Struthio camelus: one gene and its partner. The protein of the gene in region 2 purifies or fractionates together with the protein of the main gene of each other region. This does not show direct contact. Links are inferred from orthologs where the notes say so. Each region holds a gene or a part of one and is shown on either strand. Other genes may lie near its edges.

Region 1 (7,979 bases), on a different chromosome or scaffold from region 2:
GCCCGCCGGAGAGGCGAGGGGCCCGGCCCCCCGGAGAGGGCTCAGCCCCGGGCCCCCCCCGGCCACCCCTCGGGGCTGGGAGGACGGGGCGCCCTGGGGTGCAGGTAGCAGGAAGCCCAGAGCGGGGTGGGGGGGGCACCCATTTCGCCCCCCTACGGCCAGAAGGGGACGAATACCTCCTTCTGGGGAGGAGGGGGGCCGCTAAAAAAAGGCCCCCAGCACGCAGGGAGGCCGGTGCCCGGCGCTGCGCGGTGTTCAGCGGGGGGCGGCACCGCAAATACCGGGATCGCCCCCCCCCCGCCCTCCCCCCGAGGGGCGCGGGCAGCGCGGGGCGAGGCGCGGCGGGCCTTGCGGGGGGGCACTGCGGGGGGGGCACAGGGGGCTTGGCAGGACGGGGGGGGTCACAGGAGGCTTGGCAGGACGAGGGGGACAGAGCAGGCATTGCGGGGGGGGGCTCAGAGGCATTGCAAGGGGGGGCACAGGAGGCATTGCAGGACGGAGGGTGAGAGCAGGCACTGCGTGGGGAAGAGGGGGGGGCGCACAGGAGCGATTGCAGGCCAGGGGGGCACAGGAGCATTGCAAGACAGCGAGGGAGGCAGAGGAGCCGCTGCAGGACGGGGGCGGGGGGGGGTCACAGCAGGCGTTGCAAGGGGAGTAGAGCAGGCATTGCAAGACGTGGGGCACAGCAGACTTTGCAGGACGGGGCGGCGGGGGGGGGGGGGCAGAGGAGCCATAGCAGGCCGGGGGGGGGGCACCGCAGGCATTGCACGGGGTGAGGGGGGGGCAGCGGCGGCTGTGCAGGAGGACGCGCGGCGCGGGGGGGGGGGGCTCACCTTGAAGGCCACCGGGAGGGTCTTGTTGCAGCGCCAGTGCGAGGGCAGCACGGAGCACAGGAAGTTGGGGCTGTCGGTGCGGACCAGCTCGGCGGGGTGGTCAGCGATGATCTCCACCATGGTGCGGTTGTCGTGGGGGCGCAGCCGGGGCACGGCGGCCGCCGCCTCTTGCTGCTGCTGCTGCTGCTGCTGCTGCTGGGCTACTACCACCGGGCTGACCTCGCTCATCTTGCCGGGCTGCAGGCTGCTGGAGGGGGGGCTGAACCTCCGGCTGGTGCTGGGATCTACGGGAATACGCATCACAACAGCCACAAGTTAGCGAATTGGGGGGCGGGCGGGCGGGGGGGGGGGAGCGGCAGGGGGATCGCTCGAGGAGGCGTGTAGTGGGGGGTGGGGGTTGTGGAAAAAAAAAAAAAAAGGCCAAAAAAGGGGTGAATGAAAAAGTGGAGGGGTGAGGATAAGGGGCACCAAAAAAAAAAAAAAAGGCAAAATAGGCCAAAAAAAAAAAAAACCGCAGCAGCAGATTAAATGCACGAGGCAAAAAAAAAAAAAAACAACAACTCAGTCTGTTTGGTTGTTGGTTGCTGTTTTGTTTTCTTTTTTTTTTCCCCCTAAAGCAAGCTGGCCGGGGCGGGGGGCGCTGCAGCCGGGAGCGGCACGGAGGGAGGCTGCGGGGTGCCGGGCGGCCCCTCTTAGCAAAGCCCGGCTGGAGACTGCATGGTCCCGGCTTGTGCACAGCTGCAGAGCGCCGCTTCTCCTCCTCCTTCCTTCCTTCCTTCGTGCACAGTCTCTCTGCTCTTTTCCCTCCTTCTAGCCACCACTTCTTCTCTCAAGTGCTTGAATTTCTTTCCTCTTGTTTTTTTTTTTTTTCCTCTCCTCTTCCCCTCCCTCCCCGTCCTCTGTTCGGATTTTCAAAGGTTGTCTTGGGAGAAGTCAACTAAAGCCGCTGCTTTAGCTTCCTGGGCTGCTGCTGTGTGCGGCCGCCAGAAGAGGAGCGTAACTTTCAAGCGCGGAGAGAGGGGGGGGGTGCTAAGGGGAAATGTCTCGATTTCCTCCGAAGAAGTCTTCCTCCTCCAAACAGACCGAACAAAAATGAAAAGGAGAAGAGGAGCAACCCCAAAAAGCCTCGGCGGGACAGAGTGGAGGTGGCGAGGAGCCGCTCGGCTCCCCCGCTTATTGCCTTTGGCTTCAGGAAGCAGCGGGAAGCCCGAGCTCGGGAAGGGGCTTTGGGAAGGGGCTCTGCGAAGTCGCTCCCCAAGTTATTTCAGCGGGAAAAGAAAGCTGCTGGGCTTCGCGAGTGAGGCGGAAAGTCACCCAGCTAATAATTAAAAGAGCGTATTTAAGCTGGTTCCTTTGGGAGCATCAGGAGTTAAGAAAAGTTCGAACTTCGGATCTCCAGGGGGAAAAAAAAAAAGCGGGGAGGATAGATAGGAGGGGGGAAAACCCCTTTTTTGGCTGATTTTTAAAATATGCCCAAATAAATGCTGAGAAAAGGCAGCCTTGGTGCAGTCCGGTCTTGTTAATTAAGTCGCTGCTGGATCCAAGTCCGTTGAGTTGAATAGGCTAGCAAAAATCTTTCTTTTTTTTCCGCCCTTGATGAACAACAGCAGCAACAAAAAATCATTAAAATGTCGGGTTGTTTGAGTTATTTTTCTTTCTGAAAATCGGATTTAAAAAAAAATAACAAACTTCTTTTGGGTCCCGAGAAGTTGAGGTCGGGGAAGATGAAGGAGCCGAAAAAAAAGCCACAGCTTTTTTGTCCTGAATGTGGTTTTTGGAGGCTGGGATTTCTAATGATTAGGTTTTTGTGGTTTATATATACAGGACTCTCTGGCTAAGGCGATCATTATGCTGATGAGAGTCAGCAGCACGTGGTGCTTCAGTCCTCATCCTTCTGCAGCCTTCAAAATAAATAAAACAATGTGCATCCCCCACAGGAGCAGAAACTTTCCTTTAAGTCGATCTCACCCTCGGGGAGGGGGGACGGGGGCAGGGGAGGGGGGAGAGCAGGAGATTGCCTCCGATCTCTACTTCTCTCCGGGTTTTTTCCATTAACACTTTTTTGCTTGTTTGTTAAAAAAAAAAAGCATGAAAAATCTTGTTTGCAAAAAAAAAAAAATCTAGTGCCAAAGGGTTTTTTTTTTTCGCTAAGTCTCCGGTAGTCTAAAGCCTAAGACATTTCCTTGAATGAATGAAAGCTATAAAACCCCCCTCAGACTGTTAAGGTAAAGGGAGTCTGGTTTGTTTTCTCCCTTAAAAAAAAAAAAAAAAGGAAAAAAAAAAGAAAAAGGGCAGATCTTATTAAAAACAATTTACATACCCAATAGTAAAAAAGTGTAAACGCCTCCCAGTGCAGATAACAACCTATCACAACCCTCCCTCTAATTTCTAAGGCTTTACTTCGACTTGCTGCTTCCACCTTCTTGTAAAAAGTCGGCGCTGCGGGCGTGCTCCTTGCTCGCCGCCTGCGTGTGACTCGGGGCGGCTGTGAGTGTGTGAGCGTGTGTGTGTGTGTGTGTGTGAGAGCGTGTGTGTGTGTGTGTGTGTGTGTGTGTGTGTGTGTGTGTGTGTGTGTGTGTGTGTTTCGGGGGGGGGGGGTATGTGCCCTCGCTATACAGCCTTTAAAACACATAACCGCAGCACGGTGCCCCCCCCAACCCCCCCCCCCCGAAAAGCCGGGTTTGCCCCCGCCTGCCCCGCCGCCTCCCGTGTGAAACCCTAAAGCGCAGCCGAGCGCCCGCAGCCCCGTTGCGGCAGAGCCGCCGCGGAGCTGGCTGCGCGCCCGCGGAGCCTGCGCGCCTCGGCCCGGCGCTGCCCCGGCGCGGGCGGCTCGGCCGCCGGGCTGCAGCGCTGCTCCCGCCTCGCTGCCGGCGGGCGGAAGAAGCGAGCGAGCGACGAGCTCCGCGATCCGGTCGCAGGGGAGAGCTCGCGCTCCGCGCAGCGCGCAGCGCGCCTGCCCCGGCGCGCTGGGCGCATCCCCGGCCGGCGGACACCGACCGACGTCTGCCCGCCGCGGTTTTCCCACGGCTGGAAGGCGGAACAACAGCCCCCCGACCCATTGCCTGGCAGTCATTTACATTTTGGGTTGCTGTTGTTGTTGTTGTTGTTCTTTCTTGTTTCCTTTTTTTTGTTGCTTTTTTTGGTTTGTTTTCCTCGCCAAATGTTGGAGGGCACGGGGAAGTCTTCTCGCCGCTTGCGAAAGCGCAGTGGGCGCGGGCGACGGCGCAAAGCCCCCCGGAGCTCGCCCGCGCCTCCGGCAACGCCACGGGTCTGACTAGTCCCCTGAAGTGCTCGCAGGCGCTTCAAAAAGGACAACCACCCTCCACCTGCAGGGGCTAACATCAGGGATGTTCAGCAACTCTGGTTTGCTATGCTTCCAGTAGCGAAAATATCTTTTTTTTTTTTCCATAATTATTTTGGTAAAAGGTTCATGATCATGGCTTTTTGGCTTTTTTCCCTACTTTAGCTGGAGGGGAAATACATTCCATGAGAGCAGGGGAAAGGTGTTAGAAAGCAGAGGTTGTCTTATATCCAAATACTGTATTAGCCTGACTATTCTGATTTATTTTATTTCAAACAAGAAGATCCATTTCCAGTTTTAATTAGTCGCACTAAAAGTTTTACAGTTGCCTCTCTTCCTACTAAAATAAAATAAAAAGTTAATTAGGATAAGCTAAAGTGAGTTATTGGAAGCTACCAGTGTAAGGTCACTTAAAATAGTCTATGGTTATTTATAATGTAGAAATAAAATTTTCCACTGAACGCCCTGACAAAGTTTCAGGTATCTGGCACAGCTGATTTTCGGTCTCCTAGCAAAAATATCTTTCTGCTGAACATTTACACATTTAACAGGAACTTACTACAGCCTGGAACAGATCACAGCTCAGAGCACTAGAATTTTATTTAAATGGTTATGGACAAATTAATAAAACTACTAGTAATGTTTATGGACTCGCATAAAGGCTGGATGGGATTTTTCAGAAATAGTAATTTATGTTATGATATATATAATCTGGAACGTTGGCTTAGATTTGGCTGAAGTGGAGAGCAACCCTGCTGCTCGGCTTTCCTCAGTTTTTATTTCAGAACTTCTCGGAATTTTAGCACTGGTTGCAAAATGGGTCGTATTTTAAGATTTTAGAGAATCGTTGGAGGTTAGAGAAAATATGTGCTTGCACTGCAAAATATGTCCTAACAAACACGTTCAGATCAACTTTATAAAATAAGATTTTCATTAGTCCAGCTACTTTTCCTGCAATTTTGATTTTTTAGCTTTTTCATTTTTAACCATGCTATGAGTACAGCCATAATTATATTACTTTTTGCCAGGAAGGTAATGTTTTAAACAGCTCAGTGTTTGTTTACTGTTACATTTATAAAACTTGGGCCCAGCACTCTCCCGTTGTGAGCATCATATGCTCAAGATGAAAAATAATTGTCAAATTTGAAAGATTCCAACCTGGATGATGTTTCCTAAATAAACAGTTTTGGTGCCAGTTTGTTGGGCTGGAATGTGCTGTAAATATGATGAATACTGAACTTATTTTGAGCTTCTCTGTATATGTAAATAGCCTTTGTGCAAAGGGAATAAATGAATGGGTTCATCGGGTTTGTTATTGCATTGGGTATTTTTAGTGCGAGTGACTACAGCTATGTCAGCAATTATTACTATAGTTAAGGGTTTGCCACCATTCTCCTTCCAAAAACTACCTTCTCAGAGTTGTTAATTCACTCATGAAAATGTGCATCCAGTTGCAAAACTGAAGCAACTAATTCTACCTAAGCTTTTGCCCAAACTTCCACTCCTTTCAGTGGGAGCAAAATAAGGTCTAATGTCTGTTGGCAGCACTTTACTTTCACTTTGGTTATAAGTTGACTGTTTGCCCAGCTATTCTTTGCTTTTTTAAAGTATGATAAATACTAAGTTTAAATTTGCAAGTTTATTAAGTATTCATGCGGCAACGGGCCCTGTAACTGCAACACTCATATTCAAATAACAATCTGCGGACTGCCTTGATTCGCTTAACTACTGCGTCCCTATCCCACTGATTTATGGCCTAGATAAAAGAAGATTCTTTGTGTCCTGAAATCTGTCAAAAGCATTTAATACTTCAGCACCGTGCACTGATGTTTTTTTAGTGTTTGTAGTCTCTGGCGCAAATGTAAGCACAGAAGTTTGAAAGACAGGATAGGAAATGATTACATTAAAGAATCGATCTTCAGAATATTACTTTTTTTCCCACAGTATTTTCTAGTACGAACTGAGGACTGAGAGCTGAGATTCTTGGGTTCTATTTCAGGATTTGATGCTGACTTGCTCCGTGACCTCAGAAAGTCACTCAGCATCTTTTGGTTTCAGTGTAAAAGGGGGTCATTACTTTTACCACGCACTATGAGATGTAAAAAATACATGCCAAGTTTTCTGAAGTCTAAAGATTAACAGGGCACTGCTAATGTGAAGGATACCAATAACACCAGAAAAAGAAACTCTGATTGCTAATAAGAAACCTGCCATGTTAGGACTGAAAAACTGTTGGCTTCTCCATGACTCGCAGGGAAATAAATGCACATTATACAAACAACGTAAACAGATACCAAAGTCTGGATTTTTTTCTTAATGATTTATATTCTGCTTTTCTAATACAGATAGACTGCAAACCCGGCTCTCAGTCCTTCTGTAGGGTTCTCCCGTTTCCCTCTCTGTTTGCAACCTCTTATGCCTTATTGGAATTCCATGTATTTCAATAAAGCTTAAAGCAGCAAATGACCATATTGTCCTTGGGAAGGGAAAAAATGTGGCCCTACTTGTCATCTTACAATCACTTTTTTAAGAGGAAGTATGGCCTGTCTTTTCTGGCAGTAAAAATCTGAATGTGTCAAATGTTTAAGAGAATTTTGGGCCTTTTTCAAGCAAATTATATATTTTTTTGTTTGTTTGCAACGTGCAAACTAAAAGTTAACTCTGCAAGTTGTTAGTCTCCATAGTTAGGGACAAACTGGCTTTTCATGACGGGATTGACTTTGCCCCTTTCCATTAATCCTCCTCACAACTTCTGTATAACTCATTTCAGAATCAGGAAGAAGAATTTTGTCTTCCTTGAATAATTTCAGGCAAATTCAACACATATTTTTTTGAGATGTAAAGGCTAAAAAAATGACAACTTACATTTTCCTTTTTTTCCCCCCTTCTTGCAGTGAATATAAAAACAGCATGAGCCAGAAACGTCGCGGTTATTTTTTCTGTTGACCTCCATGAAAACTAGTTCCCTTAACTAACTGTGGGGAAAGTGGGTGGTATAACTGTTTGTAATTAAAAAGGGTTTATGCGTTTGGAACCTTGCAGAGTCCCTAAATTTTGCATGCTGGTTTTTAAGAGACTAATGAAGTGCACTCCGGCCAGATACAAGCTCCATAAAGCTCACACAGAAGATACTACAAGATGTAAGCGAGCCTTGGGTGGGTGAGGTAGTTTTTAGCGTTCCCAACCACAAGCAATACAAATTTTTGCATTTACCCTCTAATGTCGCAATGGTGAGGATTCCCCTTGTAAATCTTTTCTTCATAGTCATAAATGGCAGAAAATTTTTTTGGCAGATTCTGTGTTAATAACATGAATCTAGAAGTTGGAGCAATAGAAAAACACCCAACAGTGCAAGACTTGTTCTAAAAATGCTTAAAACATACAACACTGAAAGGGGTGGTGCACTATTCTACAAGAGTGAAATAGAAGAATAAGGCATATGTTAATGGAAAGTGGGAAGTATACATAAAGTAGATGACAGTATACCAACTGTTTGGGGAACTACAACAATCAGTCTATTTTGACCTCTCTCTCTCTGTCCAATGATGAACTGAGCATGGGCAGGCCAAACCAGAGAATCAAGAACATAATCATATTTATGGCACTTGTATGACACAACGTAGTTCTGAAAATGCTGAGCATCCTGATTGCATGTTAGCATAATACACATGTGCCCCAAATTAAGTGTGACCTTAAGACCTTCGCTGTGTGGAACATAACCTAGGATCAATCACTTAGTCGATCACTGTGGCGTTGGCAGCTGTGTTACAGAAGACTGCAACGTCAATCCCAAAACAAGCCATAAGAGCAGATGACAAAACATTAGACATCACATCTAGTAATAA
Region 2 (6,889 bases):
ACTAAATGTCTTTGTAAACAAAGTCTACTGGTAGAGGAGTAAACTTCGCTGGTGCTGGTTTCAAACAGTGTGTAGTGTGCTTGCAATGAAACCTCAAATTTCACAGCAGATGAAGCCTGCTGAGTAAAATACATGCATCTCCCCTGCTGCTTATATATCTGATTTTTTATAGTAATTCTTTTAAAATTTTTATTTATTTATTTTAAATAGTAACGCTTATTTTCCAGCTTGCTGCCACTGCTAGAAAAGGTGTGCTTTATCTGTGACCTTAAGCGTGGCATAGAGTCAAGAGGATCTGTTTCACATCTCATTCTGGGGCAGCTTCTGTTTTCTAAATCGTTGGGGTCTTTCCCTGGAAAGAAGAGATAGCTGAAAGAATCCACTGGCCTGTTAGACTGATACATAAATCTTTTTTGGCATGCTTACATTTCCCCATCACTTTCCCCCAAAATCCAGCATTTCCAGTGTTTCACCCGGTCTTTGAAGGTAAGTCAACTGTTGCAAGGTTTTGGGGAATGCTAGGGAAATTATCATTGCAGGACATTTTGTCTCAGTGAAGAAGGAATTGGGGCCAGCTTTATGTTCTAGATAGCTATTCAGGATATGTAGCTTCACCTGCTATAGGTCTTCTACTTAAAGATCTTGTTGCCTTATAGTTAGTTGCTCCACACTGGATAAGAAGGACCTGCATGAAATGGGGCTGTAGTCTGTTTTGCATATCCGTGGAACACTTGGAATATGATGATTTTTGGACTGTGTGTCTGATGTATGTTGGAAGAATGTACTGGAGAGAGATGAGTTTAGATGTTGTAAGGAGAGAGTAGCTGGGGATGTTCTACTGTGAATATTAGAAGATGAGGTAGTTTGATCTCTGACCAATGCTAGTTTAGGCTTTTATACTGTCTTGCATCTAATGTTTTTTCCTTACAGATATGATGCATTGCCTGTGTGCACAATCCTTGCATTTATAAATTTCTTACTCTGAGTATTCATGGAGTGCAGATGTTCATAAAACAGACATTCATGTCTTGAAAAATCCTCTAGCCTGTGGTGAATGGGAAGCTTTCCCAGGTAAGCTAGAGAACCAGTTTCTGAATAAATGAACCTTTCATCATTTAAGGAGGAAAAAAAAAATGCTCTGATTGATGCACAGAGTGCCTTCCAAACGTGAACACAGGGTAGACGAATGCAGGGCTGTCTCCTCTGCAGCCGAGCTCTCCTGCTTAAGCAATTGGAAGCTTCCTGCAGGAACTCATTGGAGCGGTGCAGGAAAAAAGGCATGGGATGTAATGATTTGTTGGTGTATGTGCAAACTGTTTGTCCAGTGAATACAAGGATCTGTTCAACCTGAAGCAGTATCAGTGCCTAATAGAGTTTTCACGATATAATGGGAGTTACTACTACTGCTAAATGTTTACGGATATGCATATGCAAATATCTGTATGTATCTCCTGTGCAGAACAAAGCATCTTGTCTCTGTGCCCCGTTTGTCAGAGCGGAGGTGAAGGATTGAAGTGATGTTGGCGAGGACAACACTGGTTAATCAGAATGGCTCCTGTGCACGAAAATATTTTGCTTATTATAAGACAGAGCGATAGATTGAATTGAAGTTACTCTTCTGAAACGTAAAATGAAAAAATGCCTCACAGCAACTCAGTGTTAAGAGTTGGGCTATGAAGTGGCAAATAACTTCTCACAAACTGTGGAGGTTGCAGCAATACATCTGTAGAGCCTGTATTAACTTGGGAGATGTAGAAGTGGAAGAGCTTTCTGCACACATGAATAAGGTGGTGGCTTTCAGGTGTAGAGGGTGTAATACTGGATCTGCAGATACTTCTGTTCAGGTAGGCAAGCTGCTTTAATACTGACTTGTCAGTTGGGACACTCTAGGTTTTAAAACAAAAGTTTGGATGAAATCTTTTGAACTGCAAAAGATGTCAGGGATGTGAACATATTTTCCTGAAAAATATAATGCCCTTAGTTTCAGTTACTGTATTTAAAATCGATGAAATTTGTGTTGGATTTGTGGATATTTGAGTGATCAATCTCTGCAATACAGCATTCTTAGCTTTTCTGTTCAAAGAAACTTTGGTTTAAATCTGATGTTCTTGAAGGTGGGCTTAGGTGTTAAAACTCTGATCTGCGTTCTGTTCCATGGAGCATGGCCTTGGAATTTAACCATGCTTTCTACAGCTCATTTTGGAGTAAACTCATATTTCAAGGTGTTTATATTTGAATTCATTGCAAGAGAGCTTCCAAAAATAATTTTGTGTTAGGTGAATGTATTGTGCTACTGCCTCCACTTCAAGTGATGAGGCTTCTCTAACAATGCTCAGTATTAACTTTTCCGTTTGCTTGTTTACTGCTGCTTTTATGTGAATTCCTTAAAAGGCTCTTGAAATGTATCTCTGGTTGTTCTTTTGGAGTTTGGGAAATCACAAGTGCTTTAGTAGAATGCTGAGATTTAATTAAACTCTGTAGGATGGCCTTCCAGCCTTAGCCAATTTCACTTCCTTTCTCTGGAACGACTCTTTCCTGCAATGTGGTTGCTAGGCTGCAATGTTCATGTTTTTTTCATCTCTTTTTCTCTGAGGAACCCTGTAGCCAGGAAAGCTGAGCTGCGCAAAGACCCAGCAACTTGTTACAGGGGACAGTCGTCCATGTCCATGCTTAACTGCAGGTGTTCACTTTGTGATAAAGACCACAAAGCTAACCTGCTATGTAGACAAATGAATTGTTACAACCAGTGTTGAAAACCTGCTATCCAGTGGTTGCATTTATTGCAGTCTGCTCCGCTCTGCAGTATGTACCTTGTATGCTTCTCTTCTGAGGTCTTGAAAAGCAGAATTGAGTTATCTTGGCTGTGGAAATAAAGTGAGCAGGAGGGAACTTCGAAAGAGACGGGATAGTCCTCTGACTGCATCAACTGGTTCTCTCTGCTTCAGTTGCAACAGATCTATATTCCATATTGCTCAACAGGCAGTGTTTAGGTAAGCATGGATTTTGCAATGCACAGCCAGCAAAATTAAACTGCAAATCACTAATGGGAAAACAAAGTGTATGGGTGTCATTGCCCCTTTGCGTGCCTGCTGCCCCCCTCCCCCTGCCTCCGGCTTCTAATTGTGGATGAAAAGTGAGTTTCAGGGCCCCAAGCTCTGAATATCTGCTAACTAAACTCCAGCCTCAGTTCTCTTCTTTAAGTTGTAATTAAATTTTAAAGTGGAGAAATGATAAGTAATCTTAGTGTAGTGGACACTCCTTATACTGTAGAATTATATTGGAGCTGCTGGGTCCTGCTCCAGTGAAGCTCTGAAAATCTAATTGATTTAAAACCTATGAGGAGTGTACTGGCTGATGCCAGCTAAACACACATATAAGTGTCTCATTTTAACAGCTTGACAGATTCATTTCTACCTGTTTATAGCAGGTTCCCAGACTTTGTTTGCTCAGATACCATAGTCAGGGTGATGTGGTGTAGCGGGTGGCAGTGGCCGTTGCAGGATGTCAGGCTGCCTGTGTATGCAGGAGATGTGTTTCCTGCCCTGTTCCTGGTATGGAGGTGGCAGTGGTGGTAGAGGCAGCTCCCTGCTCCTCAGTGAGCCTCAAGTGACAAATAAGTGCAGAAGGATTTTTTTTCTCTCTTCTGAAGACAGTTGCCTACATTTCATTTGTGTGCTAGACAGTTGCCTGCATTTCATTTGTGTGCTGTGCCTCAGTGATCGGTGATAAAATCATGAAGGTGAGTTTTGCCCCGAACGAGGCATACTTCTGACGGCACCGCATATGAAATAGTGCTGTACAACGCATGTGGTTTGCCATGGACCTTTGACCACCTCACCCCTTGATCTCTTCCCGGTAGTCAGCCTGTATTTCTGGTGCTCCCGACCTGAGCAGTGATCGCTGCAAGAACGTTCGGTCTCAAGCGGGGCTCCAGCTTCCAACTGCAAGCATGAATTTTCCACCGTCTCAAAAAGCAAAATGCTTCTTCTGACATTCACGGATTGGTCCGGTACTAGACTGTTTGAGGCCGATCTGTTTGCCACCCTTCAAAGCGATATGTTAGAATCCTACAGTGTTGAAAAGAGAGCGGTGGTTAATTTTGGGCACGCTGCATTTGCTTCCATGGCACAACATAGTTGTATCTTCTCTGCAGGGATGCAGAAAGGTAAGGATACGTTTTCGGGAAATAATAACCCAATGAAGTAGAAGTAATACATTTACAGGAAGTGGACTGTCCTTTTTGCAAACTTGGTATGCAGATTCTGTTTTCAGTAAGAAAATTCAAAAAGACTAGTGCAGATATGCTTAAGCCGGGATTTATAGTTAGTGAAATTGAGAAAAGTGGCTTTATGTTCTTTAAACTGCAGAAGAATAGCATGGAAACAGATTAGCATGCTGTTCTTCTGGCTGTATACAGCTGCATGCAAAAGCTTCAGCAGCTGTATTTTCTGAACATCTTTACAAAACTCACCTAGAGTTTCAAGTTAAAGACCTTGCAGCTGCTAGCATTTTTGCTGTTTGATAGCAGCTGCTGTATTGACAAGTACATTTTTATCATGGGAGATGCTAATGGAGTGGGAATGAGCAAGGAACAACTGTTTATATAATCCCGTGCTGTATAGATCAATTACCATGAAAACAAGCCGTTCAGTTGTCTGCAACAACATGCACCTTGAACTGTTTCATGCTATAAATAGTGGTAATGCTGAACAGCATTGTCTTCCAAGAAGTGTAAACCGAATTGCCTTTGTGTTCTTTTGGTGTAAGCACGGAAACGTGAAGCTGCTCGGTTAAGTCAAAGCAGTTCCCATAGCAGTGAAAAGAAAGTGTCATGATAATCTCTCTGCCCCTGTTCATTGCTACTACTACTACTAATTTCATGTATAAAATCATAACACCTCCCCTCTCCTTTCTTCCCCTAACTGCCAAATTAGTATTCAAGCACTATGAATGAGTTACCAGGCAGCAGTCTTCTAGATGTCTTGTAGAGACTAAAACGTTTTGTGCTTGTAGAAAATGCTTATCAGATTTATGCGAAACATTCCGAGTTAGTGATTGTTTCAGTTCTGATTAAAGCTGCATGTGTAAGAAACACGCTTGGAGTCAGCTCTAAAGATGCATATTGGCATGGCAGTCACAATACTTGCTATGTTTAAGCGGCTCGCTTTTCTTTACCAAAGGCAAGACTGTTGACGGTCGTGCAAAAAAACCCAAACAAACCGGTGCTAAGTTTCAGCTACACAAAGTACAGAAGAGTTGAGGTGTTGCAGCCTTGAACCACAGTATGTGTAGTGATACCTGTTTTTTCAGTTGCTTTGTCCTATTTTTCCTCTTAGTCTAGTGACTCATTTTACAGGCAATAAAGCTTTCTTTTTTTTTCCCGGGTCATACTGTGAGCTCTACTTTCATGATAACCTTTTTACAGCCAGGTAAAGATATTGATGACCATGTCAAGGACTCTAAAATAGATGTGCCTTTGCTTCCTTCCAGTAAATTGGACCATTTTCTTTACACCGCAGCTGGGATTTGGGAAGGTCTTACAGGAGCGTTCTCACTGGAGATGTTGGACAGGGGAGTCCTAGGTTGGTGTTTGCTGTGCTGTGGGATCATCTGTTCTGACAACTTCCCTCCCCAATGGCAAGTTAGCACAAACAACTTTTCTTCTCCTAATCATCATTTCTTACTCCTTCCTGTATTTCTTTTTCATGTTTGAAGTGTTTCTAAAGCAGAGGTTCCCTAAGGTCGGAGAGAAGAGCTCAAGCAAAATCTGTTAGGGGTTTTGATTTCAAACACCATTGTTGCTTTAAATTACAAAAAAAAAAAAAAATCCATACCTCTGATTTGATAATCCTAAATTATCCGTTTGGAACTCATGCAGAGGTGTGAGCATGGCTCCTTGTACTGGTATCTCTCTCATCTGTCATTTTGTTTGTTACTATTAGATATCGCACTTGGCAATAAATTATGTAGTTCTGTCCTTGCTGCTTAACAAGTTCTTGCCAATTCTTAGTGTTAGTTAAGGGGTAAAAAAAAAAGAAAAGAAAAAGAAAAAAGAAAAAACCCACCTCCCTTTTGAATATACTTTACGTATTTATGTCACATAAATGTTTTATTGACTTTCGTCTTTAAAAGTCTGCATTATTCACAAGTGGTAAAGCTGTAAGAGCTATCCTGGTCATTGCAAACAAGTGTCAATAAAACCTCCAACCACATTAGTTTGTGTGTGCTGTACTTTGCTGTACTTTCTTTCTTTCTTTTTCTTCTTTCCCCATAAATTTGAGCCCTTTCCAAAGAAGACAGGTACTTGGGAGAGGGGCAGGTAGCTATCACTGTGCAGGATTTAAAAAGAAGCGAATCTCAGCTAGAAAGGAGAACCTTTCTAAATGAACAAGACAGCTTTTTTTTCCCTACTTGTCATTAGAACCGTTTGTTTCTAAACAAGCCCGTTCCCACCGCCTTCATGCCAGGAAAACAAAACGAAACACTCAAAAACCAGATCCCCCAAACCTTGAGTTGTTCTGTGGCATGCATGTAAAGCCTGTAAACTTCTCTTGTTGCCAGTACCTAAATATTGCGAGTAAGCTCTTGGGCTGCCTTTTGGTTTGGAAAGGTGCTTTTAGACTTTTTTTTTTTTAATGTACAAAGAAACTATGTGTATGTGTAGCAGGATGCCAGTCTCATCTGGAAAACTGTGTTGAGGGAACTGAGAAGCACGGTTCAGATAGGCTCTGTTTAAGAGAACTATTTTTAAAGTGTATTCTTCAACTGTGTTAAACTTTTTTTTTTTGTTCAAGCCTTCATTTATATCCTGGAAAGAGCACTAATTCAAAATAAATACCAGAAAATACATCTCGGATGACATTATATCTTTTCTCTGCTAAAAAATGGC

What was found.
Region 1: the proteins of HDAC4 (region 2) and RUNX2 purify together in Homo sapiens (affinity purification with western blotting; 3 studies listed by BioGRID). This does not show direct contact. The link is inferred for Struthio camelus from reciprocal best matches to the Homo sapiens genes HDAC4 and RUNX2.

The regions. Positions count from the first base shown.
Region 1 is NC_090944.1:13,669,297-13,677,275, reverse strand, and holds the start of RUNX2 (runt-related transcription factor 2), read right to left. Parts: upstream 3,023-7,979; 5' UTR 1,134-3,022; coding exon 834-1,133; intron 1-833. UniProt on the Homo sapiens protein: Transcription factor involved in osteoblastic differentiation and skeletal morphogenesis. Essential for the maturation of osteoblasts and both intramembranous and endochondral ossification.
Region 2 is NC_090947.1:2,715,364-2,722,252, reverse strand, and holds the start of HDAC4 (histone deacetylase 4), read left to right. Parts: upstream 1-3,886; 5' UTR 3,887-3,978; coding exon 3,979-4,165; intron 4,166-6,889. UniProt on the Homo sapiens protein: Responsible for the deacetylation of lysine residues on the N-terminal part of the core histones (H2A, H2B, H3 and H4).